3 linked regions of the Oryctolagus cuniculus genome follow. The protein of the gene in region 3 purifies or fractionates together with the protein of the main gene of each other region. This does not show direct contact. Links are inferred from orthologs where the notes say so. Each region holds a gene or a part of one and is shown on either strand. Other genes may lie near its edges.

The links. Proteins that work in one complex are often made in the same cells at the same time.
Region 1: the proteins of DMWD (region 3) and USP12 purify together in Homo sapiens (affinity purification with mass spectrometry; 3 studies listed by BioGRID and IntAct, with this or other methods). This does not show direct contact. The link is inferred for Oryctolagus cuniculus from reciprocal best matches to the Homo sapiens genes DMWD and USP12.
Region 2: the proteins of DMWD (region 3) and USP46 purify together in Homo sapiens (affinity purification with mass spectrometry; 5 studies listed by BioGRID and IntAct, counting the BioPlex papers as one, with this or other methods). This does not show direct contact. The link is inferred for Oryctolagus cuniculus from reciprocal best matches to the Homo sapiens genes DMWD and USP46.

The regions. Positions count from the first base shown.
Region 1 is NC_091440.1:87,334,987-87,339,152, reverse strand, and holds the start of USP12 (ubiquitin carboxyl-terminal hydrolase 12), read right to left. Parts: upstream 2,804-4,166; 5' UTR 2,358-2,803; coding exon 2,310-2,357; exon of another isoform or gene 1-2,309. UniProt on the Homo sapiens protein: Deubiquitinating enzyme that plays various roles in the regulation of the immune response and inflammation.
Region 2 is NC_091439.1:110,974,139-110,978,199, forward strand, and holds the start of USP46 (ubiquitin carboxyl-terminal hydrolase 46), read left to right. Parts: upstream 1-1,258; 5' UTR 1,259-1,409; coding exon 1,410-1,445; intron 1,446-4,061. UniProt on the Homo sapiens protein: Deubiquitinating enzyme that plays a role in behavior, possibly by regulating GABA action. May act by mediating the deubiquitination of GAD1/GAD67.
Region 3 is NC_091449.1:11,217,776-11,221,982, reverse strand, and holds the start of DMWD (dystrophia myotonica WD repeat-containing protein), read right to left. Parts: upstream 2,808-4,207; 5' UTR 2,711-2,807; coding exon 2,270-2,710; intron 737-2,269; coding exon 554-736; intron 1-553. UniProt on the Homo sapiens protein: Regulator of the deubiquitinating USP12/DMWD/WDR48 complex. Functions as a cofactor that promotes USP12 enzymatic activity.

The DNA.
Region 1 (4,166 bases), on a different chromosome or scaffold from region 3:
CTGATAAAACAGCATAAATAAATTATAGTCCTTCTCCTGAAAGCCCTCCCAACCTAACAAGAGATGAGGAAACTCTACAAGACAGTATGGTAAATGCTACTGAGATTACAAAAACTCTGTGAATTTCTATGATGAGGAATGGGGAGGGGTGGTTTTGGACAGGGGCAGGGTTATTCAAGGAAGGCTACCTGTGTAACAGAGACAGGTACACACTTGCCACACAAGGACACGGTAGGGTGTTCCCAGTCTGGCAAAAACAGCATAGAGATAAGTAACTTCGCTGTTCTGGATTTTCAGTTTTGTAATTCTCACAAGATGCTTGACAGCTGCATTTAAAGAATAACTTATAACCTACTTCCAGAAATTCAGTACTATTTGGGAGGCCATTAGAATTTATTCAAATATGAATAAAGACACACCCAATTTTAATAGCACCTTTGGAACAGCCTCACTTGGCCAGGCATGGACATTTTGCCAACAATAAGTGCACCAATCTGCAATTAATGTACTGGGTGGAAACCCTAGAAAGAGCCTCACAGTCTGACATTCTTCAGATCAGAATGCCACTGACATAATGTATGACCTTGCAAAGCTCTGTGCCTCGTTTTCCTGATGTGACTTCAGCAAATACACACACACACACACACACACACAGAGACAGAGAGACTTGAATAGTGTCTGCCTCCCTCGACTAGAAGGTAAACACCATGAAAGCAGAAACTATGGGATCCCCAGCACTCAGCACAGTTTTTAGCACATGAATGAACAGTAAAGAGGATCACCCAATCCTGAAACCCTAGCCTTTGACAATGAACTATGACCCCACGAGGTGCACACTCAGCCATTTGGCAAAATTATCACTGTCAAAGACTTAATTATCACATTCACTTTGAAATCGACAGATAATAACTGGCGTGTCTACAAATAACGAGCTCACACCAACCTTGGAAATCATTTTAATAGAGTCCCTTCACCAATGCGTTCCTCAAATGTAAATCGTGAGAAAGAACAAACACCCGTTTGGGGAAAGGGATTCTTCAATGACTCATTCTTCCACATGACTTCTTCCTTGTCCAGGGTAGATTTTAAGCCCACCTGATTTCGGCCATATTTTGAAATTATTCCTCAACACCCAGGAGAGAAACTGCCTCTTACAAGCATCTCTGCGACCTAACTGCTCAAAGTAGGGAGACATTAGGTGCAAGGCTGCCCCGGGATCTCTTAGGAATTGCGACGCGTGAAAAAGAGCTCGTGAGACCAGGAACAAAAGACTTCACAAGTCTTCAGTACCATAACCACCAGGCTCACGTAGGAAAGAATAACTTTTTTGGGCGATGACTCATAAATTACGATCCCGACATATAAGCTCTTAAGGAGCTAATGAAAGGAAGTTGCCCCATCATGTGGAAAAATGTGGTCCTTCGGGCCAGGCACAGAAACACCAAGTTCTACATGCACTCAGAAAGCTTAACTGGAGACTCCGAAGGCGCATCCGCACTTCTCCCTTGAAGTCTGTTCAAAAGGCCCTAATGAAACAAATACCACCGCCCTTGCAGTCAGCCCCGCAACGGGACGCTGGCCGCTGCACACAGATGCGCCTGGGGGATTAAAGTGAGCAAATGAGAGGAAAGCTGCTTTTCCGAGATTAAAGTGGATGCCGGGGCCAAGCCTGACACCTGGACACACGCTGGAAACGGGGTTCCTCTGGGCGAGCAGAAAACGCAGAGAACGGCCACGCCACTTACTTAAAGTTTCCACCTACACTCACACTCACGGCGCCCCTGGCACGGGGTCGCACTTCTGCCTGGCCACAGCCACCAGAAGCAAACCTACACTTGACTTCCGTCCTCGCCTGGGCAGCAGCGAGCCTGCCCAGCCCGGCCGGCCGAGACCCTTCCTTCCTGCCCGCAGACCCCCGCCCCCGCCGCCGACGCCCGGCCACACGGAAACGGAGACGGCGCGGCCCCGCGGCCCTGCCCCTGCGACCCCCAGCCCGCCGCCGCGCTCCCACAGGCCGGCTGCGCCCAGCAGAGACCGGAGCAGGGCGGCCCGGGCTCGCCAAGGCCGGTGGCCGCCCCCAGCCCCCTGGCCACGTCCAGCACGGCGATCGCCCCTCGCAGCCCGGCCCGCGGGGCGCCTCCTCGGCCGCGGGGGCCGCTAATCGCCCGCGCTCCCCGCCCGCGCGCCGTCCAACCGCCCCCGCCCGGGCCGCCCGCCCCCGCGCCAGGCCCCCGCCAGCGGAGCTGAGGGACGGCGAGCAGGGCCGTCCGCCCGTCCGAGGAGTCCCGGGCCGCCCGCGCCGCACCTACCATGGTACAGATGGAGGCGAATTTGGAGACTGTCATTAGGATTTCCATCCGCCCAGCGCCATCTTCTACCCAATCACAGCGGCGGCGGCAGCAGCGGCGGCGGCGGCGGGCGGGGGAGGAGGGAAGCCGGGCCGCCCGCTCGCACCGCAGCCCGCGGGCGGACCCCCGAGCCGCCGCAGACCCACGCACCGAGCCTGCTGGGCCGCCGCTGCCGTCGTCGCCGCCGGCGCTCAGGCACTCCCTGCCTCGGGCCCCAGCCCCCGCCTGCCGGCCGCCCGCCCGCCCCCGGCTCCGCCCCGGCGCAGGGCGCAGCCGCTGCCTCGGGGCCCGCGCCTGCCCGCGAAGCCTGCCGCCGCACACCCCGCCCAGTGCGCTGGGGAGCGGGCTCCGCCGAGGCCCTAATGCCCGGCAGCTGCGCGGCCCCGCGGCACCGCCCCGCTCGCGCTCGGACCGCCCCGCGCGCGGCCCCGGCGCCGGAGCGCGAGCCCGGGGACTCGGGCCCAGCCCCTCCCGGCGCGCGGCCGGGGGCGGAGCCCAGGGCGGGCGCGCCTCCTGCCCGCGTCCCGCGCGGTCCTAGAGCCTGAGGGCCGCAGAGCCCGGGCTGCGGGCGCTGAACCGGGTGGAGCCGCGGCGGCTGCCGCTGGGCGAATCCTGGAGCAGGATTCGGAAAATTGTGTGTGGAGAGAGAGAAAAGCTGCTCTTGTACAGTGAAGCTATCCCGGGGCTAGTCTCAAGCGCTAGGTTTGTTTCTTTGTTCAGAATTTGGGTGCAAACGCTGTAGCTTACAAAAAGGCTAGCTACTTAAAAGCGAGGCAATAAACACAGTATGTTTGAATTAAAAGGAAGGGTAAGTAGTGGGGGAGGGGAAGGGAGCGAGCCCTACCTGCCTGCCTGCTTGTCAACCTGTCGCTGTAAATTTAGAATGTTTCTAATGATCGGCAAATTGAGCTGCGAAGTGGAGAGGGTCTCAGCCCGACAGTGATGATGGTGTCACGGGAACAAGGAAAGTGAGCCCAGCAAAATGTCAGAGATTCATACTTAAGCAGGGTTAGTTAGTGGGATGATAGCTCCTTTTTTATGCTACTTTTCTAAAAATTCGTACATGCACCCTGCTCTTCGTGTCTGGCAGCTCAGTTTTGTTTTCTTTTATTTAAGAAAGGACTTCAGGTGGGTCGGGTAGCTTTGGATGTGATTGTTTGACAGCTGAACTAGTGACGGGGTGCTTTTCTGGGGTTCCAGCATTTCAGCAGGGCTAAAGGCCCGAATTCAGGCCGACCTCTAAAATTAGGTATAGATTCAAAGCCTTCGAACACCAAAACAAAGCGAGCTACGTTTGGATGAAGAATGGATTTCTGCTACGTGAATGCTGTTTCCATAGTGATTCTGTTATAAGCTTGCTTGGGAGTGAAGAAATGCCGAGTGGGTGCAGCCGCGTGCCAAGGTAGCCAGCCTCGTTCTCCCGTGCCTGCCTTCTGCGAGGCTAGGCACTCTCCCTCCTGCCCTTGATGCCGGGTTAGTGGCTAAGGCCGTGTTTTCACCTCTGTGCATTCATGTCAAGCCTAGGGAGGGAAGCCAAGAGGCAAGTCCTCTACCCCTCCCAGCATCTCCCAGCCCCTGGACGCCATGTAGGAGACAGCTGAATTCCCAATGAATGTCATGGTTCCTAACTGCAGAGCCTCGCAATGGCTTATCTGCTCAAACAAAAAGCACTGTGCTGACCAAATAGACGAGCTTCAGCCCCAGCTCATTTCCTTGCTTGGGTCCTGAAGCTATCTGGGTATATTCTGTAACTTACGTATTCAGAAGAACCCCCAAGAGTCAACTGTACACAAAGTCAACTTTTGCTAGGCACAAGAA
Region 2 (4,061 bases), on a different chromosome or scaffold from region 3:
GTCATTCACTGCCTGGGCTTCACTCTGGCTGTTTCGAATCTGCGGCAGGCTAATTTTTAAGAGATAACCTGGTATGGTCTGCAAATGATGTTATAAATTTCCAAATGGCTCCCCACCCTGTCCCATGTTACTGAGCTGCAACAGGAGGGGGGGATCGCACCCAGCAGGTGACGGAAGGTCACAGAAAAAGGTGCTGAGGACTGACGATGGGGAATCAGCAAAGTGGGCTCATCCGGATCTATTTGTAAATAAGATTCAGGTAGAGCGATTTAACATAAGTGGAGATACTAATCCTTAAATCCCTTGAAAAATAGGGTGATGACTTGCCCCCCCCCCGCCCCCAACCTTCAATCCCTACTGGGTCCTAGGGATGTTAGCCTCAGTGGCTCGGAACCTCACCCGCATAACCCCACGTCTTCCGATGAGCTCATCCTTGGTTGGATAAAAGTTGTCCTCCATTATACTAATTTCTCTTCTAATTCCATTTTCCATTTGCATACATTGCTTTCGGAATCTGTCACGCGCTCCACTCACGGGATGGTAGCCCTGTGTGTAGAAGTTGCTCACGTCTGGAGACCACACCTGCCAAGCTGTGCGCTGAGAGCCACAAGTTACGACCCCAGAGGTGGACCGGGTGCGCCGACAGCGCCCACCTCGAAACCTAAGCGCTGGGTCTCCCTGGCAGGGGTGCGTCTTCCTTGAGGAACTGGCAAAGTCCTGTTCTGGCTGCTTCCACCCCTGCACGGTCCCTGCCCCCTGCCCCCTGCCCGGCACCGGACTCCTCCTTGGTACCTGCACCACCTGAGCGCACGCATCCTGGCCCTGCCCGCCCTTCCCGGGCGCAAGGCCCGGCCGTGCTGGCCACGGCTTTCTGACCACTGTCCTGTCCTGACCCCATTTTCCACCCTGGGTCCCCGCCGGTGTCGTGCGACAGGAGAAAGGAAAAGTTGGACGTGGTCACTTTGACCCCACCCCCGGCCCGGCCCCAGCTCGGAACCCCGGGGCTGCGGGGGCGGGAGGGAGACCCGCGACCAGCAGGCGGCCTAGGGCGTCCCCAGCGCCGCGCGCTGCCCGGGCACACAGGCGGGGCCCGCGCTCCGCGAGGCCTGGCCGCGCGCTCCGGCCCGCAGCGAGCGCGCCGGGGGCCCCCCGCGCGAGGCGGGGGAGGCGGCGGCGGGCGGGGCGCGCGGCGGCGGCGCGGACCCACGCGCTCGGGCCGCCCCTCCTCCCGCGCGCGCCCCGCCCCCGCCGCCGCCTCCCGGCCCCCGCCCTCCCGGCCTCCTCTCCCGGCCGAGCTGGAAGCCGGACCCAGGCCGCCGGGCCCGGCCTCGCCGCGCGCGCCCGCCATGGCCCGTGCCGTTCTCCCCTGGTAAAGATGGCGGTGCGCGCTCGCCGCCACCTTTAGACCCATGACTGTCCGCAACATCGCCTCCATCTGTAATATGGTGAGTGCCGCCGCGCCGGGCCACTAAGGGGACCCGAGCCGCGCGCACGCCGGCGCCGGGGCGCGGGCCAGGGCGCGGGGCCCCGCCGGAAGTTCCCGGCCGGGCCGGGCGCGCGGCCGAAGCCACCCCCACCCTGGGACCTGTGAGACCGGGGACCCGGGGCCGCACCGCCGTGCCCCCACCTCGGGTTGCGGTGGAAGCGTCGGGGGCCGGGAGGCAGCGACGCCCCGGGGCAGGGCTGCGGGCGAGGAAGCCCCGCTGTGCCCCCGCGCCGCCCCCTCTGGGTCCGAGTTCAGCCCTTGGGCTTCGCCTGAATCCACTTTGCAGCGGCAGTCGGTGGTGGTCTGCAGAAACCTGCCGTGTGATGGAGCTGTGGAAAAAGTGCGGTTGGGGAAGTGAACTTCAACCTGGCCTGGGAAGGCGCCGCGGTGGTGGGGTCTCATGCCGCGGTTTCCCCGTCTCTGCAGAGGGGGGCGGGGACCTGGACGGGCAGGAGGGCTCCGGGCTGCCCTGCCTGATCCCCCGCGGGCCACCGGCTGCTGGCTGGCGTGCACCCGGCCAGGGGCTCTGCAGTGGGCCCTGACGGGGGTCTGGGGCCGTGGCCTGGTGGGGACTGTAGTTTCTGTTTCTCCCATTGCTTTCTGCAGCAGCAGCTCCCACTGAGTCCCCAGAGCCAGCCCTGCCCGTCTTCCCCTTGTCATAGCCCTGGGGAGCCCGGCTTGGGGTCAGGATGAGTGTGTGTCTGCATGCTCCTGCCCCTTGCCTGGCCTTCCCCGGCTGCAACGCGTGCTCCTGGGGTGCCACTTTGAGGCCGGGACCCCGAGGAGGCTGGGGGTGAGGTGTGCCGGCCGCCCCTCCTCCATCTCGGGCTCTTCTCTGCTTCTGCCCCACATTCTGTTGCAAGAGCCACACCGGCAGAGGAGCACGGAGAAGCCTTGTGTTAGCTCAGGGGCGGCTTCGGCTCTTAGCTCCGTGGGACTTGGCCACACTTGGCCGGGTGAAGGCTGGGGCGTCCCGGAGTGACAGCGGCACAGGTGTTGACATGGGGTGGGCTCCGTGGGGGGCTCCTGTCTCCTCTCCCTTCCTCTCTTTTTCCACGAGGAAGCGGGTTTCCTGCTTTTTGTCGAGTGGCGTGAACGCAGCTTGGTGCCGCTGGAGGAGATGTTTTCTCCTCGCTTCCCCTCGGCTGCTGCCAGTCCTGAAGCCACAGCCGCCGAATGCCTGCCTTCGGGCCTGCCGAGTAGCCAGGCTGGCCCTGAAACCCTGGTGCTGTTGACACCGCTCAGTGTGGAAGCAGCTTGGGGGACGCCGGCCTCCAGCTGCACCGCGGGCTTCTAGCGCACCTGGCTCCCGTGAAACACGCCAGGGAGAGGAGCCGCAGGAGGACAGGACAGGCAGGGGGGTGGCAGGCCCTTGCTGTGTCCGCGAGTGGGACCCCCGTGTGTGCAGCCCTGAAAGCCTGGCGGACCGAGGAGCTGCGCGCAGGCCAGGGGAGTTTTCTGTTCGCACGCCGGTCCTGTGTGTGGGGCGCGTGAGGCAGTTTCCGCTCTCAAGGCCTTGCCACTGCTGCTTCTAACTTAACGCCTCCCGGTCTTGGGGACAAGTTGCTCTTCTTTCCTTATCTTCAGTAAAGGGAGGATACTGGCTCTTACCTCATCCGGACAGTCGTGGCCGGCGCCTCACTGGGGTGCTGGGGCCGCTAGCAGTTGAGGTCAGCACCATCCTTCTCGGACAGGCCTGCGGTGGTTTTGGGCACTGGGGAGATGATGCATGGATACTGACAGCCCACCTGCTGCTTGGTGCAGGCCAGGGGAGGGCGGTGTGTGCAGAGGCTGCTCGGGGACCCCGCCCCTCCCAGCTGGCCTCCCACACATACCTGGAGTGGGCTGGGGATGAGGGGACTGCTGTGTTGCCACCCCATCAGACCTAAATGTTCTTTACACCCTCTTTAGAGGCTTTCCTCAGTGTGAACTGTTTCCAGCGCTGTCTTCTGGCTGGCTCCTCCCAGGGCTCAGCTTCTCTCTGGGGGCTCGAACTGGCCCTGCCCCTCCCAGGTCCACACACTCCCAGCTGTTTGAGTCGTTGTAGTAAGAGCCCGGGGGATTGCATTTTCATTTTTTATTTATTTCTTTTTAAAGCAATTTTTATTTTTTTAAAATATTTATTTGAGAGGCAGAGAGATGGATCTTCCATCCACTAGTTCACTCCCTAGAGGGTTGCAGTGGCCACAGCTGGGCTGATTTGAAGCCGGGACTGGGTCTCCTATATGGGCGCAGGGGTGCAATCAATTGGGCCATCCTCTGCTGCTTTCCCAGGCGATTAGCAGGAAGCTAGATCGGACAGAAGTGGAGCAGCTGGGACTTGAACTGGTGCCCGCATGCTATGCTGGTGCTGCAGGTGGAGGCCTAACCCACTATGCCACAGCGCTGGCCCCTATTTCTTTTTTTTTTTTTCTAAGATTTACTTATTTATTATTAAAAGAGTAAACACAGAGAGAGGGAGGGACAGAGAGAGATTTTTCCACCCTGTGGTTTACTTAAATGGCTGCAAGGCTGGGTACCAGGAACTCCATCTATGTCCCTGATGTGGGTGCAGGGGCCCAAGCACTTCTGTTGC
Region 3 (4,207 bases):
TGCAGTGTGGCCACCTGCTGGCACATGGCCAGCTCCGCTCAGGGCCCGCCCCCGCCTCCGGCGGCCGGAACCTGGCACGGGCAGCACTCACTGCAAGGAGCTAATCGATTTCTCGCCCATTCAGCGTCCCACCGGCTCCCTCCTGCCAGGCAGACACAGGCCGTGGGACACGGCGTCCCCGCCGCAGACAAGGGCTTCTGTGGCGCCTGCGCCCAGCCACCCGGACACAGCTGCCTGCGCTCATTTCCAGTGGCCCTAGGAGGCGTGGACGCGGATCCCTTTCTGCGGAGGAGGAGAACCAAGGCTCAGGGACCGGGCGCCTTCCCAAGGTCACGGGTGAGCTACTGGTGGAGCAGGGGCAGCGAGCGACTCCCAGCTAACCACCAGCCTCAGTCTTCCCGCCTGTGAAGTGGGCGCCCCGATCCGCACCCACCTCTCCATGACAACTCAGCCGTGTGGTGCTGGGCACGGGACCGCGCTGTTCCGACCGTCACCTGTCTCCCTGCCCCTCCCCCTCCGCTCATGGCCGCCGCGGCCCGGGCGCGGCACTCACCTCCTCATTGAAGAGCTTGCTGGTGTCCTTCTTAATGAGGTCCAGGTACTGCACCTGGCCGGCTGAGAAGCCCACCAGCAGGGAGATGGTCTCCGTGGCGGCGGTGAACTGGTTGAAGTCGTGGCAGGTGGGCTGCGTGCCCTTGTAGATCCGCTTGTCGATGGGCTTCTTGAGGTCGATGGACTGGGGGGAGGAGGGAGGAGGAGGGAGGAGTTGATGGTTTGCAGGGGAGGAAGGAAGAGGGTGTTGAGGTTGGGGGAACCACCGAGAGGAAGCAGGGTTAAATCCCTGAGGGAAGTGGGCAGCCGGCGCGGGGAGGGGGCGGCCACAGACAGGAAGGCAGCCTGGATCACACACAGTAGAGGGGAAAATGACTATGAGGGTCTCCACCCCTCCCCACGGCGCCTCCAGAGGCTGGACTACCCTGGCCCCGCCGTGCCAAATCCGGGGTCACCCTGCCCGACAGCCCCCACCCCGGGACGCCCTGCCCACCAACCCCTGCCCCGCCGTGCCGAATCCGGGTCACCCTGCCCGACAGCCCCTGCCCCGCCGTGCCGAATCCGGGGTCACCCTGGCCGACATCCCCCGCCCTGGGACACCCTGCCCGACAGCCCCTGCCCCGCCGTGCCAAATCAGGGGTCACCCTGCCTGACAGCCCCCACCCCGGGACACCCTGCCCGCCAACCCCTGCTCCACCATGCTGAATCCGGGGTCACACTGCCCTACAGCCCCCGCCCCAGGACACCCTGCCCGACAGCCCCTGCCCCACTGTGCCGAATCTGGGGTCACCCTGCCCACCAACCCCTGCCCCGCCATGCCGAATCCGGGGTCACCCTGCCCGACAGCCCCCACCCCGGGACACCCTGCCCGACAGCCCCTGCCCCGCCGTGCCGAATCCAGGGACACACTGCCCTACAGCCCCCGCCCCGGGAACCCTGCCCGACAGCCCCGACCCAGCCGTGCCGAAGCCGGGGCCACCCTGCCTGCAGGGTTCGGGGTCCCCTGGGCCCTGAGCTCGATTCTTCCCAGCCCTGCCCCAACCTGGAGCTTCAGCAGCTCCCTTGGGACTTGGCACAACATTCTGAGACCCCAAAACCTCGGGGCCCCACAATCCCCTGGAACGCTAAAGCCCGGCGTCCCAGGGTTCCCTCCCATCTGGAGCCCCCAAACCTCACGACCCTACCCCCCCGTTCAGGGACCCAGCCGGCCTCATGGTACCCCCACATTTCTGCTACCCTCATAGCTCTGGGCTCTCCAGATCCCCTCATTCCTGGGGACCCCCATAAACTGCAGAGGCCCCTCAACTCCCCCACCCCGGTCCTGTAGCGATGCCGACACCTGGGGCTCTCCCCACCAGGGCCTCTCATGGCCTCGGATCCCCCAGCTGCTGACCGGGTCACCCTCAAAAGGCCTGTTACAGCCCTGGGCTCCCCGAGTCTCAAGGACCACCCCCCACCACACCTGCAGACGCCCCTGAGCCTGCGGCACCTCGGGATTCCCAAGCACCGGCAGAGCGCCGGCCCCCTAGGGCCCGGGGACCCCACCTCATCTCTGATGCCCCCGCTCGACCCTCAACGCCCACGCAGCATCGCGAGGACCTCCTGTCACGCCTCCCAAAGCCGCATGACCTGCCAGCGGCCCGTCTGCCCGGGATGGCCGCCACACCTGGGCTGCCCACGGCGGGCCCTCCCTCACTCCTCAGCACCCAGGCCTCACCCGCTGACTCCCGCGGCGGCAGCAGCCCGGGTAGAAATACAGCTCGCGGCCCAGGTTGAAGCAGACGCGGTCGCCCCCCGCGCCCAGCCCCGCGGGCGTGGCCGGCGGCTCCCCGGCCCCGGCGCCGTCGGGCTCCCCGAGGCGAACGAGGCTGAGGCGCACGGCGGGCAGCGCGGGCCCGGGCCCAGGGCCGGGGGGCGGCGGGGACGACGCGGGGCCCGCGGCGCCGGGGCCGGAGGCGGCGGCAGGGCCGGGCGGGAGTTGCGGCGGCTGGGGCGGCGTCGGGGTCTGGGCGGAAGCCGGACCGGACCTGCGAGCGGCGCCGTCCCCGGGGAGCAGCTTGTAGAAGCCCTCGCGGGTGCGGAACTGCGACTTAATCTCCGCGCAGTCCCCCATGGCGGCGCCGGGGCCCGAGCCGCCCTCCGCGCCGCCCGCCGCCATCTTGGGCGCCCCCCGGGCCCCGCAGCTGCCGGACAGTCGCCCGCCGCCGGGCCCCCTGCCGGAAGCCGCGGGACCGCGCCGGAAGAGGTGGGGTCGTCGCCCCGGCGACGCCTCTTCGATTGGCACCCGGATCCGAGGGCGGGACGAACCGCGACCGTCGCTCGGGTAACGGTCCGGGGGCTGTGGGCGGGGCGGGGCGGTGGGCGTGGCCTCCGCGCCTGTGAGCGGCTCCTGGTTGGCTGTGGGGCGTGGCCCGCAGTGGAAGGGGGCGTGGTCAGTTGAGCGCTCCGGTCCCTAGCAACAGCGCCCTAGGAACCGTTTGCCTAGCAACGCAGGGACCAGCAAAGGAAGGCATCCTCCCTGACCCGGCCTCTCTATGACGTCACAGCTGACCCCAGTGCGTCTCCTTTAGAGTCTCCGCACCGTCCGGACCTCGTGTTTTCCACTGTCTTCCTGAAGACCCTGATAGCATCTTCAACCATTACTCCCCTACCCACCCCCGCACCATGGGTTCCCTCCCCCCATCCCTGCTGGCCCCAGAAACTCCAAGAATTTCATCTGACCCGCTACTGATTAACAGTAACCCCAAACATCCTCCGTATAGTGTACCCCCTCCGTTACGTACCTCCGTAACTCCACCGCCTTCAGTCACCTCATCTTCCTAAACCCAGCTATGACCCCAGAATGTCTTCGGTCCCACAATACCGCCAATGTCCCCGGTGACCCACCTGCCCGCAGTGAGAGCCACGCCCCTCTCCTGGGGAAGCCGACCCTGCCCCCAACGCAGAGCCTGCTAGTCCCACGGACTCGGTGGCTTCTGGATTCCTCACAGGGACTTCCCAGGGGGCATCTCCCACTCAACGAGTCCTACGACCTTGCCCCCTTCCTGCCAGTCCTTAGGCCTCACCATGGCGCTGTGCTGCCACGCGCTCAGTCATGGGGCCCGGGAGCTGGTGTCTCGTCACCTCCACACCCAGGCCTTCCTCTCCTCTTCACAGCCCTGAGCCTCCCGCACCAGCCTTGTCTGATCTCCAGCCTCCTGTCTCACTCCCTCTGCCGCCATGTGGTATCTGGAGGGCCTTGCTTCTTTCATATATATATATATATATATATATATATATATATATATATATATCCCACTTACTGGCTCACTCTCCAAATGCCTGCAACAGCCAGGGCTGGGCCAGGCCAAAGCCCGGAGCCACCCGGGTCTCAGATAGGAGCCATCACCTGCTGCCTCCCAGGGCGCACATTCCAGGAAACTGGGATTGGGAGCAGAGGTTAGGACTCAAACCCAGGCACTGTGATGTGGGGCGTGGGCCCCCAAGCAGCGGGGGTCTCAGCCACGGTGCCCAACGCCTGGCCCTAGAGGGAGCCCTGCAGAACAGAAGTGCGGTCAGGGCCCTCCCCTGCTCACCCCCGACCCCCAGGGCTCCCTAGTGCTGTCAAGACAAAGTGAAACCCTGGACGGTGGGGCCAGAGTTGGAGGCACTGCCA